Lonchura striata: one gene and its partner. The protein of the gene in region 1 binds, or shares a complex with, the protein of each later gene. Links are inferred from orthologs where the notes say so. Each region holds a gene or a part of one and is shown in the gene's direction. Other genes may lie near its edges.

The links.
Region 2: the proteins of BMPR2 (region 1) and INHBB are in contact, whole or in part, in a crystal structure (PDB 7U5O), measured with the Homo sapiens proteins. The link is inferred for Lonchura striata from reciprocal best matches to the Homo sapiens genes BMPR2 and INHBB. Residues at the interface, in NP_001195.2 of Homo sapiens: Tyr40, Tyr67, Leu69, Val80, Lys81, Trp85, Ser86, His87, Ile88, Gly89, Asp90, Gln92, Ile108, Gln109, Tyr113, Phe115; in NP_002184.2 of Homo sapiens: Phe309, Asn318, Asp319, Ile322, Ala323, Pro324, Gly326, Tyr327, Tyr328, Thr379, Met380, Ser381, Met382, Leu383, Phe385, Asp386, Asn390, Ile391, Val392, Lys393, Asp395, Ile400.

Annotation. Positions count from the first base shown.
Region 1 is NC_134610.1:26,684,198-26,692,983, reverse strand, and holds the start of BMPR2 (bone morphogenetic protein receptor type-2), read left to right. Parts: upstream 1-3,333; 5' UTR 3,334-4,013; coding exon 4,014-4,089; intron 4,090-8,786. UniProt on the Homo sapiens protein: On ligand binding, forms a receptor complex consisting of two type II and two type I transmembrane serine/threonine kinases.
Region 2 is NC_134610.1:12,355,859-12,364,644, reverse strand, and holds the start of INHBB (inhibin beta B chain), read left to right. Parts: upstream 1-4,553; coding exon 4,554-4,956; intron 4,957-7,603; coding exon 7,604-8,379; 3' UTR 8,380-8,786. UniProt on the Homo sapiens protein: Inhibins and activins inhibit and activate, respectively, the secretion of follitropin by the pituitary gland.

The DNA of each region.
Region 1 (8,786 bases):
CACGTGCTGTTTGTGCCTGTGCTGCTCAGAGCTCCCTCAGCCAAGGGCAAGATACATGTCCTCTATCTGGCCTGCATCTTGGGGAGCTTCCAGCCACCAGACCCTGGCTCCTCTGCCACTGCCCTCCTCGTCCTTGCCCCGTGACCATGCTGCTGGGGCAGCCTTGCCTCTGCCTGCCTGTGAGAACAGCGAACACAGCTGCAAAAGACCATCTGCTTCCAAAGGCCTTTCCTCCTCATATTTTAACAGTCTTATCTCCAGTAAGTTCAATGGTGTTGTTTCATTGGTCAGAGTTCTTCCTGGTGGAAATACAGTGCTTTAGTCAGAATATTGGCTTTTAAATCTTGGTAAATTTGACATGTTTTCTCTTGTCTCACCCCCATCTTTACCTGAACCTGCACCGTAGATTTACTGTTCTGCAAGTTTCCATTAATCCTGACTACTTTTCTGTAGGTCTTACTTGGTGTCGCTGAATATTGGGAGAGCGCAATTCTAGCTTACAGCTAAAACAATATCACAGGAAGAATTATAAATTTGTTCTTGTCCAAGCACATAACAATGAGTGAGCCTGACTGTGACAGTTTGGATCTCTGATTTCCTCCCACCACCGTGGGAAAAGCTGCTCCTGTGCTTACACAGGATGGCTTTCTCAGTCTGTGTGGTGAAGCGGTGCCCTGCCAGCTCCGGGGAGCCCGGGGTGCCACAGCTGCTGCTCTGCCGCCGGGCATCGCGTGTGAGCGGGCACAGCCACACGGGCTGGGAGGGACCCAGCCCTTGCAGAGAACATCTACAGCACTCCAGAGAGCTTAGGGAAGGAGGGGAAATCCTTGCAAACTGCTGGGAGTGCAAGTGTGTGAGATTAGTCCAAGGGCCTGATAGAAACTCCAGCAAAGTCGATGCACAGCCCCGTGCCCTTCAGTAGGGTGTTTTCTTGATCGGGTTTGTGTTTTTTGTGAAACTAAAAGGAAACAATTGTATTCAAAATGACATATCTTTTCCCTTCATTTTAGGAAAACAGAGAAATTCAAATCAATTTTGTGGAGGGAAAAAAAAAAGTATTTTAGGGCAGAATATATGTTTTTGCCCAATTTCTTGTGGAAAAGAACTCCTAGTATTAAGTAATGAGCCAAAACTAGAACCATTGAAACAAATGAGACCTGTGTCATTTACTTCAGGCTGAGCAGGTTTTCATACATATCATAAACAATCACAGTAATTTTCTTTTACCATTTAAACGGTGGCAGTGCTGTGCAACCCATATGGCAAGGTTCTTGTTTTCTCTGAACAAAGTAGATCTTGCTTCTTTTATTGGTAGGTACAGCTGGGCAGAAGGTGTATCGCAAGTTTGATGTCTGTGGAACCAGAAAAGTACATTGGATTTTGGTGCTGCAGAAAAATATTCAGTGTTAGGGTTTTTTTCCTCTCTTGGAGGTAAAATTGTTCTAGCTGTTGAGGGTGGAGAGTTGGTGTTGGTGTTGCTTCCAAAGGCTATTTCTTGACATTCACATTTAACAAATAACAGGAAGGATACTGTGGTTAATGTGTGGTTGCAATTCTGGAAAGTGGCAATACAAATTACAATCTGTGATTCTATATTTTATTGTCTCACCAATATCCATGTTGGATCTGCATAGATTGGAAGTAAAAATATTGTAGGAAACTTTGAAAACATTTTTAACTATCAGTGTAAATTCATCTTGACCCTAGGAATGTCAAACTATGACCCTGGCCGTCACAATGATGAAAATCCCAGTACAATTTATTTAATAATGCTCTTGATGATCAAAGTACCAGAGTACAGCTATTTCATCCATTACCGTTTGTGAAGAAAAATGGAATTGTGCAGAAAAATTTTATTATCACTAAAATTGTAACTCTGACTTGCAACTACATAATTTTATGTAGTAGCATTCAATATTTTTGAACTTGTAGTCCACTCTTGAAACCGGTATAGGAATTTTGGCACAGGGAAGCATTTCCCATAATCAAACCTTTGGTGATCCCCAGCTATTGAAGGTGCCTTTGGGTGCAGGGTGTTCTTAAGAACCATTTTTTCTGTGCAACAGCCAGTGAAACTTGTTTGAAAGAGCCTTGCTAGGCCAGAACATCAGACACTACATTCCAGTCACAGTTCTCCCATCAGCTGCTACCCTAAATTTATCTCTTTGGTCCTGTGCAATACAGCAAAGGTTAAAGCATACAAACAGCTGAGTGGGTTCACTTTATCTTTGTTTTGAAATAATAAAATCTCTTTAAGAGGTTTTAAGCAATGGTTTTGCTTGAGAGAGTCAGGTGGCTGAAGCCATACGAGCTGAATGGATTTCAGACTGGACATTAGGAAGAAATTCTTCAGAGAAAAGGTGATTAGCTATTGAATGGGCTGGCCAGGGAGGTGGTGGAGTCACCGTCCCTGGAGATGTTTAAGGAAAGACTGGATGTGGCACTTGGCTGACAGGTTGGATTCGATGATCTCAGAGGTCGTTTCCAACCTAACTGATCTGTGATTTGCCCGGGCTCACCAGGGAGAGCAGTAGGTGGCACGGCCAGTGCTCCTAGGGGAGCTCTCAGGGACAGAGATAACGGGGTCTTGAACCCGAGGACGAGGCAGGAGTGCGGGTGTCTGACAGGCAGGCCACCGAGTTCACGCATGACGCAATCTCAGAGCCTGCTAAACATTTTTTCCTTGTTGCAGGCTTTTTGTGAATCCTGAGCTCACGCCTCCCTGCTGACAGCCTCTCTCACAGACAGGCTGCAAGGGGGAGGGGGGGCGTTCGCGGCCTCCCCGGGAAGGTCCGGCGGGGCCTTCCCCTCCTGCCGGAGCCGCCCCTCGCCCGCAGCTCCGGCCCGCGGCGCTGCCCTCGCCCCGCGGCCGGCGGAGCTCCGCCCGGCCGCCCCGCTCTGCCCACCTGGAGCCACCTCCATGGTGCGGGGCGGAGCCGGGCGGCGGGGGCGGCGCGGCGGGACGGGCGCCCGGGCCGGCGGCTGCGGCGACTCCCCTTTGTGTCTGGAGCCGCCCGTGCTGTTGGGGCGGGCGGGCGAGAGGGGGCGCGGGCGGCGGAGCTCCGGCCCTCGCTCGGCTCCCGCCCGCAGCCGGCGGCGGGCAGGGGAAAGAGGCGGAGCGGCCGCTCGCCGGCGAGCCCGGCGCGGGGGGAGGAAGGCGCTGGCAGCGCGGAGACCGGCGTGAGGAGGCCGGGCTGGGCTGCCCGGCGCTGTGGAAACTCGGGGCGGGAGGCGGAGGAGGGGAAGGGCCTTCGCCCGCCGAGAGCAGCCGGGTGCGCTCGCAGCCGGAGCCGCCGAGGAGGGGCCTCGGCGCCCCGGGCCCCACCTTTGTCGGGGTGGCCGGGGGTGGCGTCGGTGCTGCGGCGGGGGCCGGGGCAGCGCGGAAGAGCCCGCCCGGCGCGGGAGGCAGATGGGCCGGGATGCAGCCGCAGCCCTCGCCGTGAGAACAGGGGGCCTCGCCGCCGCCTTGCCCGGAGCGTGAGGCAGCAGGAGCGGCGGCCAGAGGACAGAGCCCTTTGCCGGGATGGGACGCGCCGCCGCCGTGAGCCCCTAGCTCGCTCTCCGCGCCCCGGGCAGCCCGCAGGGCCCGCGCTGACTGACACCGCGGTGGGCGCGTCTGGATATGTTCCCTTCCCGACCGGGCGCTTTCTTCGATGTCGTGAAGCTGCGTGGGAAATAGCCCGGTTCCCAGCGGGGTCGGGAGCGTGCCGCCGTCCTCCCCGGCGGGGGAGATGCCTCGGGGCTGGGAGGCAGAGCCAGGCGCTTCCCCCGTGTCCGCTGAGCGCTGCCGGCTCCCCAGGCATGAAGGCAGGCGGCTCTAATGGAGTAAGAGCGAAGACGGCTCCTCTCATCTGCCATTTGCCCTTCCAGACTGGATTGTAAACCGAGAGAGTTAAGGAAGGCTGTGCGAAAGCAGGAGGATTCGCCTCTCTTCGGGGTTTGGGTGTTTTTTTTACCCCTTTTTGTTTTTTTTTTTTTTTCTCCTGCCGGCTCGAACCGTGGCTTGCCCAGGTATGCCTGCCTCACTGCAGCACCTTGTGCTGGTGCTCCTGCTCTCCAGTGCCACCCTGCTGCTCGGCACTGCGGCTGGTGAGTAGCCACTGGGTGGAACGAACTGGCCATTTTGGCAGCGGGAAGGGGGTGGGGTCCGCTGCTCTTCGGGCACATCTCTGCCTCCTCACCGAGTGGTGTGCATCTATTTCAGCGGCGAAGCCTGATAAAAGTTTTGAAATCTTGATACGTTGAGTGTCTCGGGGAATAAAATCTGCTTTATTGTGTAAATGAGCGAGACCTGCACTCAGTATAAGAATGCTTTGCTTAGATCTGCATCTCTTGTCTAATAAGTTACTTCAGTTTTGGAAATATATATAATCTTTTAGTTTTGCATACCTCGCCTTTTGTAAGGTAATGCAGGAATTTTTAATATATATTTTAATCGTCAGCAGAGCTGTGCCTGTTTCGCTGTGGGATCTTCGGGCACAGCCATTTTTAATTTTATCAGCATCGGTGCTTCTCGGGGCCTCACACATGTGCTGTAGTTTTGTAACAGAATTACTGTAATGTGTATTTTTTTTTTCCATTGGAGAGATCTGAAGCAAATACGGAGCTATTTCTTCTGTCACTTGTGATTATAGAACACAAAAAAACACTCTTAAGGAAATGCCGAAAGGTCTTGAAGGGTACTCTTTTTTTGTAACAAGAAGTTGGAAGCAGAAATGCTAAGAACACCCTTACTCATATATTTGGACACTAGTCCTATTTTTAATTGTGTTCGGAAGCTCAGTGTTAGATATGCGGGGTGTTGGAAAAGAGATGTGTGTTGGTCTGGCATCCTTTGCTTTTCTGTCACGGTGACAGATTAACATGTTGGAGCCTTTTAGTGTAACCCAGCTTTGCTAGGCAGGAATACCAATTGTTCTTGCAGTATGCATTTCCCAGCACTTTTGGAAGACTCCTACGACTTTTCTGTCGTTTTACTGATCAGGATCCAATCTGCAGTGCTTGCTTTTCTTAGTGATATTTTGTAATCTTCTGGATATAGATAAGCGAATCTTCAGAGAAAAATTGCTGAATCTTGCTAACATGACCTAACAAGCTGATGGTGGTTTCCATGTTATATTTCAGTGAGGTCTTAAAATTAATTTGTCAGAGTTGAGGATACTTGGTATCATTATTAGGAAAATCCTGGAAATGACACATGTTTAGGCAGTTTCTACATCTCTCTGACTGGATAGTCCCTGATTTTCTTGCTTCTGCTTACTAAGAGGTCTCTTTCAGGAAGATTAATAAATAAAAAGCATGGTGTTCCCTGTATTATCCTGACCTTTGGCTGCCATTATTTTAGATGGATGTCTGCAGCGTCTCTCTGTGGCTGTTTCTGAGGAGTGTTTTTGGTTTATTCCCTTTTTTTTTTCCTGGGAGAAGGGACTTCTGAAGGTCAAAAATCTTGGTATTAAAGCACATATGAATCAAGAATGCTCAGCATTCCAACTTTTCTTTCAAATGTATTTTTTTTAAAAAAGTGTAGGTTTTTTTGGTTTTTTTTTTTGTTTGTTTGTTTGGTTTTGTTTTTTTCCATTTTGAAAACTTCAATGAGTTGGTATTTTCTGTGCCCTGATGAAGAAGGGTTGCTGAAGGAACAAGTACAGATTTGTACCAGGCCAAGGGCTGGGCAGGTGCTCTAAGAACCTATTTGCACGGTTTACCCAATTCACTTCAATTCTGAACTGGCAACAAGCATTCCCAGTATTTCAGTTCTGCCTTGTTTAAAGGGTATTAACGATGCCAGCTTGGTTGGGTGTTTTTGAATAGGCACCTATTTTCCCATTGTGATTTATTTCTTAATTGTGAAATTTTAACAATTCACATTTAAAAAAAACTTAGTCATAATCCTCTGTAAAAGTAATTACATGGATGATTTGAGCTTTAGTTAAGGAAGCTAATGGCTGATTTTAAGTTTACACTGCATTTCAGAAAAAAAATGTCTATACATGGGGAAGCTACACTAATGTGTAATTCTGCCCTTTTATGTTCATGAAAGAGCCAACACTCTTTCTTCTCTTCCCCTCCCCCAAAGTATGAACTGTACACTCCCATCCAAGTGAGAATGCTGCCTTTGTAGCTTTGAAACCCCTATTCTTTCTTCTGATTAGTGAACAGATACTATATCTTGGCAGTGTATAGAATTGAGTGCCTATAAATGCAAAATCATGACATCAGAGGGAAAGCATTTTGATAACAGGTTTTTAAGTTTCTGTCTGGAGTAGAATATCTGGACCTCTCCGGGGAGTGCTCCACAAAGACCTGGGCTCAGTATGGACAGGAAAGGAAAGATAAAATGATGAATAAAGAAGATGACACAAAAAAATCTTACCGATTTTTTGTGTCATCTTCTTGTAGATGATAGTTCCACTCATAATCTGGAATATGAATGAAGCGAGAAGGTGGTTTTCCCTTCCCCTTTTTAATTGAAGATATAATAAAGAACTAGCTCTAGATGCAGAAATATTTGCTGATTATTAGGAGGAAAATATTACTGGCTTCCTCCATAAAATACAGATCTTAACAGTTATCTGATAAGTCTGCATTTAAAGAATGTATTAGTCTTTGTAAAGAGAAATGCTTTAGTGAGGACATTTTACTGACAGCAGTCTTGGGTAGAGGTTTAAAAAGCAGTATTGGACAAAAATGGTTTGCAACACTTTGTTCTTTATTTTTCAGGTTATTTAAAATCCTTATTTCTAAATCTTTTGTTTAGAACTATGAGACATATATATATATATATATATGTCTTTATATTGTAGAGGATTCTGGTGTGTTAATCATGAGGATTTCTGCCTGAAGAGGTGATTGATTGGTGAGCCTTTGAGCTGTTTCGCAGTATTGCAAAAGAATTTTGTTTGGGTGTTCGTATGGAGCAGATATTAAAGATACAATCTTTCCTCATTTCACTTGCTTACGTTATGTGATATGCAATGCTGAACCACTTTTCCTTCTGCATACATGTCCACAGTAGACAGCATTCCATTGTACAGTGTGTAAATTATTTGCAGAAAGTATAAGGTGAAAATTAAAGCAAGCAGGGTATCCTTTTATCTTTGGGAGTATCTGTGCGGTTCAACAGGGCTGCAAAAATTAAAGCGTTAAAGGAATTGGATGGAGATTGAATTTTTTTAATGATAATTCTAATTATTAATTAAAATGAGTGACTGAAGCATCTTTATCTAATTCTGTCTTGCTTGTTTACTGTAGTATCTCAACATAATTTGTCTGAAATGTGAATTGGGTGAAATGATATTGAACTCATTTCTTCTAATTCAGTTTAGTAACTGACCCTGTATCTTGCATATTAAAGAGTGGGTTTTTTTAAACTTATCTGCACCCCAATTTCTACTTATGTACAAGAGCTACACCCATTGCTTATGTTTTTTTCAAATGTAACCTAGAAATTATGTTTATTTTTCTGTTTGTGTTGGGAGCCGTCTCAGAAATCTTAGCCTGGGAAATGGCAGCCAGGCTGTTGGCTTGAGGTCACACTGGGATGCCTGAAGGATAACCACAGCACAGGTGCAGCCTGGACACCAGGCTTCATGGGGCTTCATGGGCTGTGTGCTTGTGTAAAAAAATTTTGTAGCCGTGGAAGCCCAGGATTGTCCACAGAGCCATTCACCCTGCTGGGAAGAACCATTTTTCCATTAGGTAAATCAGCCTGTATGAGCCTCTGTGATATTTTATCTCAGGTGCTTCCAGTTCCCAAGCAAACTTCAGTACTGGGATACTGCACTGTGCAGTGTCAGCACAGCCTGTGAGGAAATGGAAGCTGTGCTCATCTGGTGGCCAAGGAACCCAAATTTCAAGCCCTGAGACATTACACAGATACCTTGCTCCAGTGTGAGTGGTTTTGTTTTACGCATTAGACAGTTGGCTGGACTGTCTGCCTAGCCTTCTCTGATGAAGGCAGGCCAACCTCACTGCACCCTGGACAAAGAGGGAAGCATAACTGTATTTCTTAAAATTATTCCTACAGTGAAGTTTGTTGAAGTGGTTGTTTTAATGGCATCTCCCTAGCACTTGTTAGAAATTTCTGTAAAAAAATACTTGTTGACTTCTACAGTGTTGTTTCCCTTCCTTTTTACATTTCATTAAGTATTTCTCAGTAATTTGTATAGTCAGTGGCATTGTTTCCTTGGCAGATACCATCTTCCTCTACCTTTCTCACTGAAGTGACAAGAAAGTGATATAGGGTTCTTCAGAAATGTTTTATTCCTAACAACAGAGTGCCTCTTACTGGAGCTGCATTGTGTTTGGACTCAGTCTGGCTGTGCTATGAATATGTGCTGTCATTTTCTGGGCAGAATATAACTTTATAGCCAGAGCTGCGAGCTGAGTGTAAAGTTTCATTTGGAACAAAATGTTTATGCCCTGAATAAAACAGGCTGGGTGATGATTTAGGTTGGGTAGGACTGGAATCTGTGCATAGCTTAGAGGCAGTAACTATTAATTTTATTGAGATTGTAGACTTAGTGGAGCTACTCACTGTTTGATTTTGAATTTAAGAATAAGTGAAATACAAGAACTGTTCCCCAAAAGACTAACATTTCAATATACAAACTGATTTTCTGCAGTGTGGATTTTATGGTGTTTTGTTTTGGGGTTTTTTTGGTTGATTGTTTTTTATTTGTTTATGGTTTTTGTTGGTGTAGTGTTTTTTGGGTTTTTTCCCCTCTTATTGCTGGAAGTTGTTTCTCTGTTTCCTCCATGGTCTGGTTGTGTAAGTGCAGATAATA
Region 2 (8,786 bases), about 14 Mb from region 1:
AGATAAGTCTTCCCAATATTTGAATATGCAAAATGGCTTTGGATAACTGTGAAAGGGGGGGGGGGGGGGGGGGCGGGGGAAGCAAAACTCAAAACATGCCACTACAGTAACAGGGATGATTAAAAATCCCCACATGTAAAAAATAAAACCTCTACCTTGTTTTACTGCTAGATTTACTTGCCAGATTTGTGATCCCCATCAAACCCATTATATTTTCCCTCTTTGGCATTTCATTTTCACTGGGGCAATGAAATAGTTTTTTTCCAAAGGGAGATGGACTGTGTTTGCACCTATTTCTTGTTTGACAGTGACCTCTATGAACCAGTCATCACTGCTCTGCCTGTTGTTTTCTTGTTAGCTCTTTGCTGTCAAATTAATTACTGTGAAGTACTAAGCTTGTTGCATTCACGTGCTCTTATTAGCTCACAGGATGTCAGAGTGATTGGATTTTTAGCATTATTTCTTTTTTTACATTCCAGGCTTTCCATTCAAAACCTGTTACTGGCAGGGAGGAAATACTGTACCTAATTCTGATCTCTCATCAGGGTAGCTCCAGTGATGCTTAGGATTTACAAAGCTGTATATGCAATTAGATTTTGTTTATATTAAACCCAACATGAACAATTAGACTGGGATTGCAATGTGACTTTGAAGCACACAATGAATGTCTTTCCTTTTGCAGTACAGAACAAGAAAGAAAATATTTATGATGAGAATAGCATTTGTCCCCTCCATTCTTAAATCACTGTAATGAGCTGATCCTCCACTTGACCCTCTTCACACTCTCGAGTTTTTTGTATTAGTGACAGCTAACAGCTCTCACTTGAGTGCAGTTCAGAGATCTATGAGAAGTTTTATTATTTTCTTCTTCTACAAAATGAAACGAGCAGAAGGGACTTCTTTGCTGTCATGCTTGAAATTTGTGTGTCCTGCATCTGCCCTTGAAAAGCTCCATCTGGCTCGGTGAAAAAGATGAAGGTCTTGAGAGTTTGTCTTCATTCCTGAAGGTAGATTTTTCTTTGCTGTTAAAAAAAAGAAAAAAAAAAAGAAAGAAAGACAGAAAGTAGATGCGATTAGAAGGGCCAGCTGCCCCGCTGCCCAGGTAGGAGGCTCAGCCTAAGGTGCTCCTTCTCCCAGCGCAGAGCTCCGACTCCAGCGTGCACCGCCCGCTGCCCAGCCCGAGCCTCGGCCCCCACCCCAGCCCGGCCCGCGGAAACCTCCCCAGCGCCCCCACGGCCTGCGTCGGAGGGCTGGCACGGGATGCCCGCTGTGCCCGTCCCGCTGTGCCCGTCCCGCTTTCCCGGTGTCGCTGTCCCGGTGTCGCTGTGCCCGTCCCGCTGTCCTGGTGCCGCTGTCCCGGTGTCGCTGTGCCCGTCCCGCTGTGCCCGTCCCGCTGTGCCCATCCCGCTGTCCCGGTCCCGCTGTCCCGGTGTCGCTGTGCCCGTCCCCGTGTCCCGGTCCTGCTGTCCCGGTCCCGCTGTCCCGGTGTCGCTGTGCCCGTCCCGGTGTCCCGGTCCCGCTGTCCCGGTCCCGCTGTCCCGGTGTCGCTGTGCCCGTCCCGCTGTCCCGGTCCCGCTGTCCCGGTCCCGCTGTCCCGGTGTCGCTGTGCCCGTCCCGCTGTCCCGGTCCCGCTGTCCCGGTGCCGCTGTCCCGGTCCCGCTGTGCCCGTCCCGCTGTCCCGGTCCCGCTGTGCCCGTCCTGCTGTCCCGGTGCCGCTGTCCCGGTGTCGCTGTGCCCGTCCCGCTGTCCCGGTCCCGCTGTCCCGGTCCCGCTGTCCCGGTGTCGCTGTCCCGGTGTCGCTGTCCCGGTGTCGCTGTCCCGGTGTCGCTGTGCCCGTCCCGCTGTCCCGGTCCCGCTGTGCCCGTCCCGCTGTCCCGGTGTCGCTGTGCCCGTCCCGCTGTCCCGGTCCCGCTGTCCCGGTCCCGCTGTCCCGGTGTCGCTGTCCCGGTCCCGCTGTCCCGGTGTCGTTGTCTCGGTCCCGCTGTCCCGGTCCCGCTGTCCCGGTGCCGCTGTCCCGGTCCCGCTGTCCCGGTCCCGCTGTCCCGGTCCCGCTGTCCCGGTGACCCCGCCCGGCCCCGCCGCCGCTGCCCCGCGCGGCCCAGAGGGGGCGCCCTCGGCCCAGGCTTCCCCAGCGGCGGCGCGCGCGGCCCCGCGCAGGTGAGCGCGGCCCCGCGGGGGCCCGGCCGGGCGCGGAGCGGCCGCGGGGACGCCTCGGTGGCGGCGCCCGGTGCCGCCGCCTCGGTGCCACCGCCTCGGTGCCGCCGCCTCGGTGCCACCGCGGCCGCCGATGTGCGCCGGGCTTCTCCCCCCGCCCCCTCGGCCCCTGTCCCTGGCCGCTGGTCCCCGGGCTGGAGCCGGGTGGGAATCTCTGCTGACCCCTGCGAGGGCTGTCACAGCCATCCCCTTTGCCTCGGTGCCCGCTCCCCTTCCATCCCCCGCCAAAGCGCTGCCCCGCGAAGGCGCGCAAGAAAAGCCGGTCCCCGGGCGCGGGCAGGGCCGGCTGTGCTGCCGGCTCCCCGCCTCGGCTGCGGGAGTGCAGCGGTCCCGTTATTTCCCCTCCCGGCTCCCCTGGGCCGCCGCCCCGGCCCCCCTCCCCCTGCTGCCTCCGACAGGCTCCGCGTCCCTGCTGCCCCACGGAAAACACACACAGTCCGCGGCACCCGCCCCGGCTACCCGGCCCATTCAAACAAACAAACAGAAACCCGCCCCGTCGCAAAGCCAACCGACGGTAAACTTTCTAATGACTTCTTCTTTCAAGTGCTTAAAAGGCAAGGAGCACCGGGGGAGGGAAAGAAAGGGGCATCCATCTCCCGGCCGGGGCGGGAGGGGGGCCAGAGCTGCGGTCGCTCGGGGTCCGTCCGTCCCTCCGTCCGTCCTGCCGGACGACGGGACAGGGACGGGAGCCGGTGTGTGGTGGGTGTGTTTGCAGGAACCGGGAAGGAGGGAGGGGACGGGGGGAGTTAAAGAAACAGCATAGTTAATATTTCCACATCAGGAAGTTACTGTAATAGCCCAGGGGGCAAAAGACTTAACTTAATCTCCTAAATAGAGAGGAACCCATGGCGTCTCTGTTATAGGTTGGAGTTCCCACGTGGTTTTAACTCCTGTATAAAAGTTTCAGTAGAAAGTGCCACAATGTCGTGATTTTGCAGGGGGGAAAAATTAGCAGAAGGAGATCAGAGAAGATACACGAGGAGCAAGCAGCTTCCCCGAGACCTTTCACTGCGGATCCGAGAGGGAACATCAGACGCGTAAAAAAAGAAAAACAAAAAACAAAAACAAAAACCAAAAAGCCAAACAAAACAAAAAACCCAAACAAAACAAAACACAGCGTTCAAGCCAGCACAAGGCGAGCGAAAGATCAAAAAGACGCAGAGGGAGACAGATTAACTGGAGCAGCAGCAGCAGCAACAACAACAAAAATCACACTTAAAATAATAATAACAACAATAATAATAAAACCCAAACCACCAACAAGGGAGATATTGTTTAAAAGGGCAAGCGAGAGAGCGAGCCGAAGAGCTGGTCTGACCGAGTGGATCCGTGCAGCTTCTCCTGGGATCGCCGGGATCGCGCCGCTTCTCCGCTCCGCGTCGCGCAGCGTGCGGTGCCCTGCCCGCGGCGGGGGTCCCTGGGCGCCGCCACCGCATCCGCGCCGGACTCCGGACCCTCCGCGCTGCTTTGAAAATAAAAGCATCTCGCTAATAATAAGCGGGACGGTGGGGGGAGAAGACTCGCAACAGTGGAGCTGCCAGCCGCGCACCCTCTGCCCGCCGCCCCCGGCTCCCTCCCCAGCTATGCTCCGGGTCAACTTTGATGGCACGTTGAGAAGCAGCGGGCGCTGAAGGGGGACAACCGAGCGGCGCGGAGCCGACCTGCTCAGAGACCTGCACCCACGGATTGTCTTGCGGGGGCGGAGTGGGCGGGGGGGTACAAGTGGCATTTCTCCCCCCCCCTCCTTCCAGGCTATAAATTGGATTGTATATAAATCTGCTTCGTTTATCTCCCTGACCCCCCTCAATGACGCTGGACTAGAGAGCTCCTCTCCGCGGCCCGCCCGGACCTGCCGAAGCGAGCGATGGACCACGAGCGACTGCGCCCGGGGATGCCCCTCTGAAGCGACGCGGGGCACCGGGGCAGAGCGGCGCCGCCTCTCCCCTGCTCCCCGGATCCCCTCGCACCTCCGGCTCGCTCCCCGCTCCCCCTCCCTCCTCCCCGGGCTCCGCAGCCACCCCCTCACCTGCTGCCGTCCCCCTCCCCCGTGGAGCCGGGCTCTCTCCGTGCACGCCAAGCCTGTTCCCCCCCCGCCGCCAACTTCGCCCTCGGTGCCTGCGCGTGCAGCCTCCCCCTCCGCCTCCCCGGCGGCACACGCCGCTTCCCGGGCGCCCCCTCCCTCCGCCGCGGCTCCCCCCCTGCGCGGAGCGGTTGCGGCCCCCCAGCTTGGCTGCCACCGCCCCCTCCGCGCCGCGGAGCGCTCGGAGCGGCGCTGCCTGCAGACGGGCTCCCTGCGGCGCTCCGGGGCGGCCCCCAGCTCGGCCCCCCGCTCCTCCGCCATGGACGGGGCGGCTCGCCGGGGGGTGCTGGCCGCGCTGCTGGCCTGCGGGCTGCTCCTGCTGGGCGCCGCGGCCACCCCGACCCCGCCGGCCCCCGCCGGCGGCTCCCCGCAGGACACATGCACCTCCTGCGGCTTCCGGCGGCCCGAGGAGCCGGGCAAGGTGGACGGGGATTTCCTGGAGGCGGTGAAGCGGCACATCCTGAGCCGGTTGCAGATGCGGGACCGGCCCAACATCACGCACGCCGTGCCCAAGGCGGCCATGGTCACGGCGCTGCGCAAGCTGCACGCCGGCAAGGTGCGGGAGGACGGCCGCGTGGAGATCCCCAGCCTGGACGGGCAGGCGAGCGCCGGGCCCCCGGCCCACGACCCGGTCTCCGAGATCATCAGCTTCGCCGAGACAGGTGGGCACCGCCCGGCCGCGCTCCCCCGCCGCCCGCGCCCCTCTGCCCGACCCGCCGCGGCCCCTGCCCTGCCGCGCTCCCCGCCTGTCCTGCCTCGCCCCGTCTGTCATTCCCCCTGCTCGACCCCTGTCAGTCCCCCTGCTTGACCTCTGTCAGTCTTCCCTCTCGCCCTGCCTGTCCTCCTGCCCACCTTCTCTTTCCGCCTGCCTGACCCGTAGCACTTCCCCGGCTGCCCTTGCCTGGCCCGCTGCGCGCCCTGCCTGTCCTCCCGCCTGTCCTTCTGCCTGGTACGGGCACCTGGCCGCCCGGCTCACCCGCTTGTCCTCCGCCTCATTCGCTCTCCCCTCTGCCCCGCACCGTCTCGCTCTGGCCCTGCCCTCGCTTTTCCATTCTCCCTGCTTTGCCCCTGTGCCCGGGATTCTCCCCAGGTTGTGCCTTGCAACTCCCTTCTCTCGTCCCTCCATCCCTCCGCAGCCTCCGTGCCCCCGGCTCCCCTCTGGCGGTCCTTCGAGCAGCACCGGGGCTTGTCTCTGTCCCCGCATGTCCCGCTGTCCCTCCTCTGCCTGTCCCGCTCCATCTCTTGCATCCCTTGCCTTGTCTGTCTGCCCTGCACATTCATCTGGTTCACTGCCTGCATCTGTCTGTTGAGGCTTGCATTTCCCCATCCTCTCTTTCCATTTGTTTCCCATTTATTTAGCTTTCATTTGCAGTATTGGCCTTGTCTATTTGTCCATTGCATGCAGTGTCCAACCAAGTGTGTCTGTCTCCTCTCTGTCTGTCAGTCTATTTACTAACTGCCCTCCATCCCCACGGTACCAGCCATCTCAGTCCTGTCCAGCCATTGCAGTTATGTGTCACCGAATCCCTTCAGCACAGCTTTCCAGTAGTTTAACCACTGTCCCCATGAACTTTGCACATCTGGCTGGAACAGCATCACTCTGCGCATTACCTGTCTATATCTGCCCATCTCTCCTTTCCTTCATCACTCTATCGCTCGTTTCATTTTCCTCCCTCTATCTTCTTGTGGCATCTATATATCATTTGTCCACAAAATAAATCTCTTTCTATCCTGTATGCTGCCCACTCATCTTCTTTATCTACCCTCCCACTTACCAAAGGCATATACATTTACAGTATCTATGGGATCTGTTGCATTATACATATGCTTGTTATATTCACATACAAAATTTATGAGTGCACACAATCTCACACAACACAAGTGATGTGGATCGGTGCAGCAGCACCGTACTGTTCTTTTTCTGTCACTGTCACCACAGTTTATGAAAAAGTTGTGTATTTACTAACATGAGAAAGGCTTTCTTAGTGTACATTTTGGGGGTTATTATTTTTTAATAGGACGTTGTTGGGAGATTGGGGGTGGGCTCGTACTTCCATTTGGTATTCAGTCAATCGCTGTCTTTTGTAACACTTCCAAAATTGACTTTATGTAAAACGTAGACAAACACAGTGAAAATTTTTGTCACTGAACTATTACAAGGTACTGAATGGGCTCTGGAGGCACATATGAAAGGCATCTAGGGTAACAAATGAAGACACCGACTACGCAAAAAATCCCATTCAGAGATTGACAAAAATGCTAAAGATTCTTAGGGAAGGAAAAGGCAGGAAAAAAATCTACATTTAGCTCTGTACAGACGGAAGCAAAACCGATAAGGGCAGATGAGAAAATGCCTTTCCAGCAATAATTTTAAATAGCGATTGGGATGCTTTGATTCAGGGATCAGAATTACAGTCTCCGCCATAAAGGCCGTCACATTTATCACCTACGCCAAATTTAGTTAGGACTTATATTACAAAATTGCAGGAAGGCCGCTGGTATTTCTGAAATGTTTCGTGCAGCAGGCTCTTCTGTTTACAAATAAGGGGTTATGTCAGACATTTGGTGACATTTGGTTTTCTCCTTTAATTCTGGTGTTGCTGAAATGCGTATTGAGAACAGCCAATAACGGCGTTACAGCGGGAACAACCGCTTCATTGCCTTGCCTCGTATGGGAGCTCATCGTTCTGGGGAGAAAAGGCAGAGATTGAAATGATTAATAATAGCCGATATTCTACCAGACTAAGTGGGGGTTAGCTTGATCTGTTGGACAAGCAGGCACATTACTGAAATATTTTCCGTTCTGTCTCATGAATCCTCTCCTTTAAACCGCAACAAGAATACATGCAAATCGAAACAAAATCCCTGGTTTGGCATTGGCGTTTTAGTGGTTATTGAAAGAGCTCTCCCCATGAGAATTGGCAGGTAGCTGAAAGTTAAAACTATTCTTAAACTGATGAGATAGCAGAATCTAGTCCTAGCGCCGGTCTTTTTCAAGGTGCTGCTGTAGCATCTTTAAATCTGGCTTTCTGGAAAAACCATATATTGGGGAAAACTCTTACTGTTGTCTGTGCATCTGACACATCCGACGACAGCCCGATGTTGAAGGCTGCTGTGAGAAGTCCCCTTTTCAATTAATTCTAATTGCAAATTTGGGATATCTGATGCAGTGCATGCCTTCTGACTGGCACAGCCCCGTCACTGTTCACTCGATCCGCTGTGCTCTAGTGTTGTCCCTGAATCCAGAATGGCACACAAGCTAACATTTCCTTTTTGACTTAATCTTGCTGATCTCTCCTTATCTTGCAGACGATCTGGCCTCATCTAGAGTCCGCCTCTATTTCTTCATCTCAAATGAAGGGAACCAGAACTTGTTTGTCGTTCAAGCCAGCCTGTGGCTTTACTTGAAGCTGCTTCCATATGTCTTAGAGAAAGGCAGCAGGCGAAAAGTAAGAGTCAAAGTCTATTTCCAAGACCCGGACACTAGCAACAAGTGGAATGTGGTTGAAAAGAAAGTTGATCTCAAAAGAAGTGGTTGGCACACTTTTCCCATGACAGAGGCAATCCAGGCTCTGTTTGAGAGAGGAGAAAGGAGACTGAACTTGGATGTTCAATGTGAGGGCTGTGAAGAGTATTCAGTGCTGCCAATTTATGTGGACCCCGGGGAGGAATCCCACCGGCCTTTTTTAGTGGTGCAAGCCCGCCTCGCTGATAACAAACACAGGATCCGGAAAAGAGGCCTGGAGTGCGATGGCAGGACCAATCTATGTTGCAGGCAACAGTTTTACATTGACTTTAGACTCATTGGGTGGAATGACTGGATCATAGCACCATCAGGTTACTATGGGAATTACTGTGAAGGGAGCTGCCCGGCCTACTTGGCCGGTGTCCCGGGGTCGGCTTCCTCCTTTCACACCGCTGTCGTGAATCAGTACCGAATGCGGGGGCTGAACCCGGGCACCGTGAACTCCTGTTGCATTCCAACCAAACTTAGCACAATGTCAATGCTGTACTTTGATGATGAATACAACATTGTGAAAAGGGACGTTCCCAATATGATTGTGGAAGAATGTGGTTGTGCTTGATTTAAGGTGTGTTTTGGGGGGGGAGAGAGAGAGAGAGGGGGAGAGAGAGAGAGAAACATTCCCGTACAAGATGGTGTTGGAGGAAGTTTCACTGTGTATCCGGGCATCAGTGTTGGAAAGTCACTGTGGAAAAGTTTGACAAAAAAAAAAAGAAAAAAATAATCATTTCACTTTGGTGTCAGGACAGTGGCAGTTTGTGGATCATGGACACTTATATATTCTATCACTTATAAGTTAATGCTATGAAATATCTTAAAAAGACACACACACACACACACACACACACACACACACAAAATGTGGGCACGCATACAAACACACGCTCAGACACACAGACACACACAGACACACACACATGAGGCAGCTCGGAAAAGGGACATGAGCACAGAAAGTCAGTGACCAGTGAC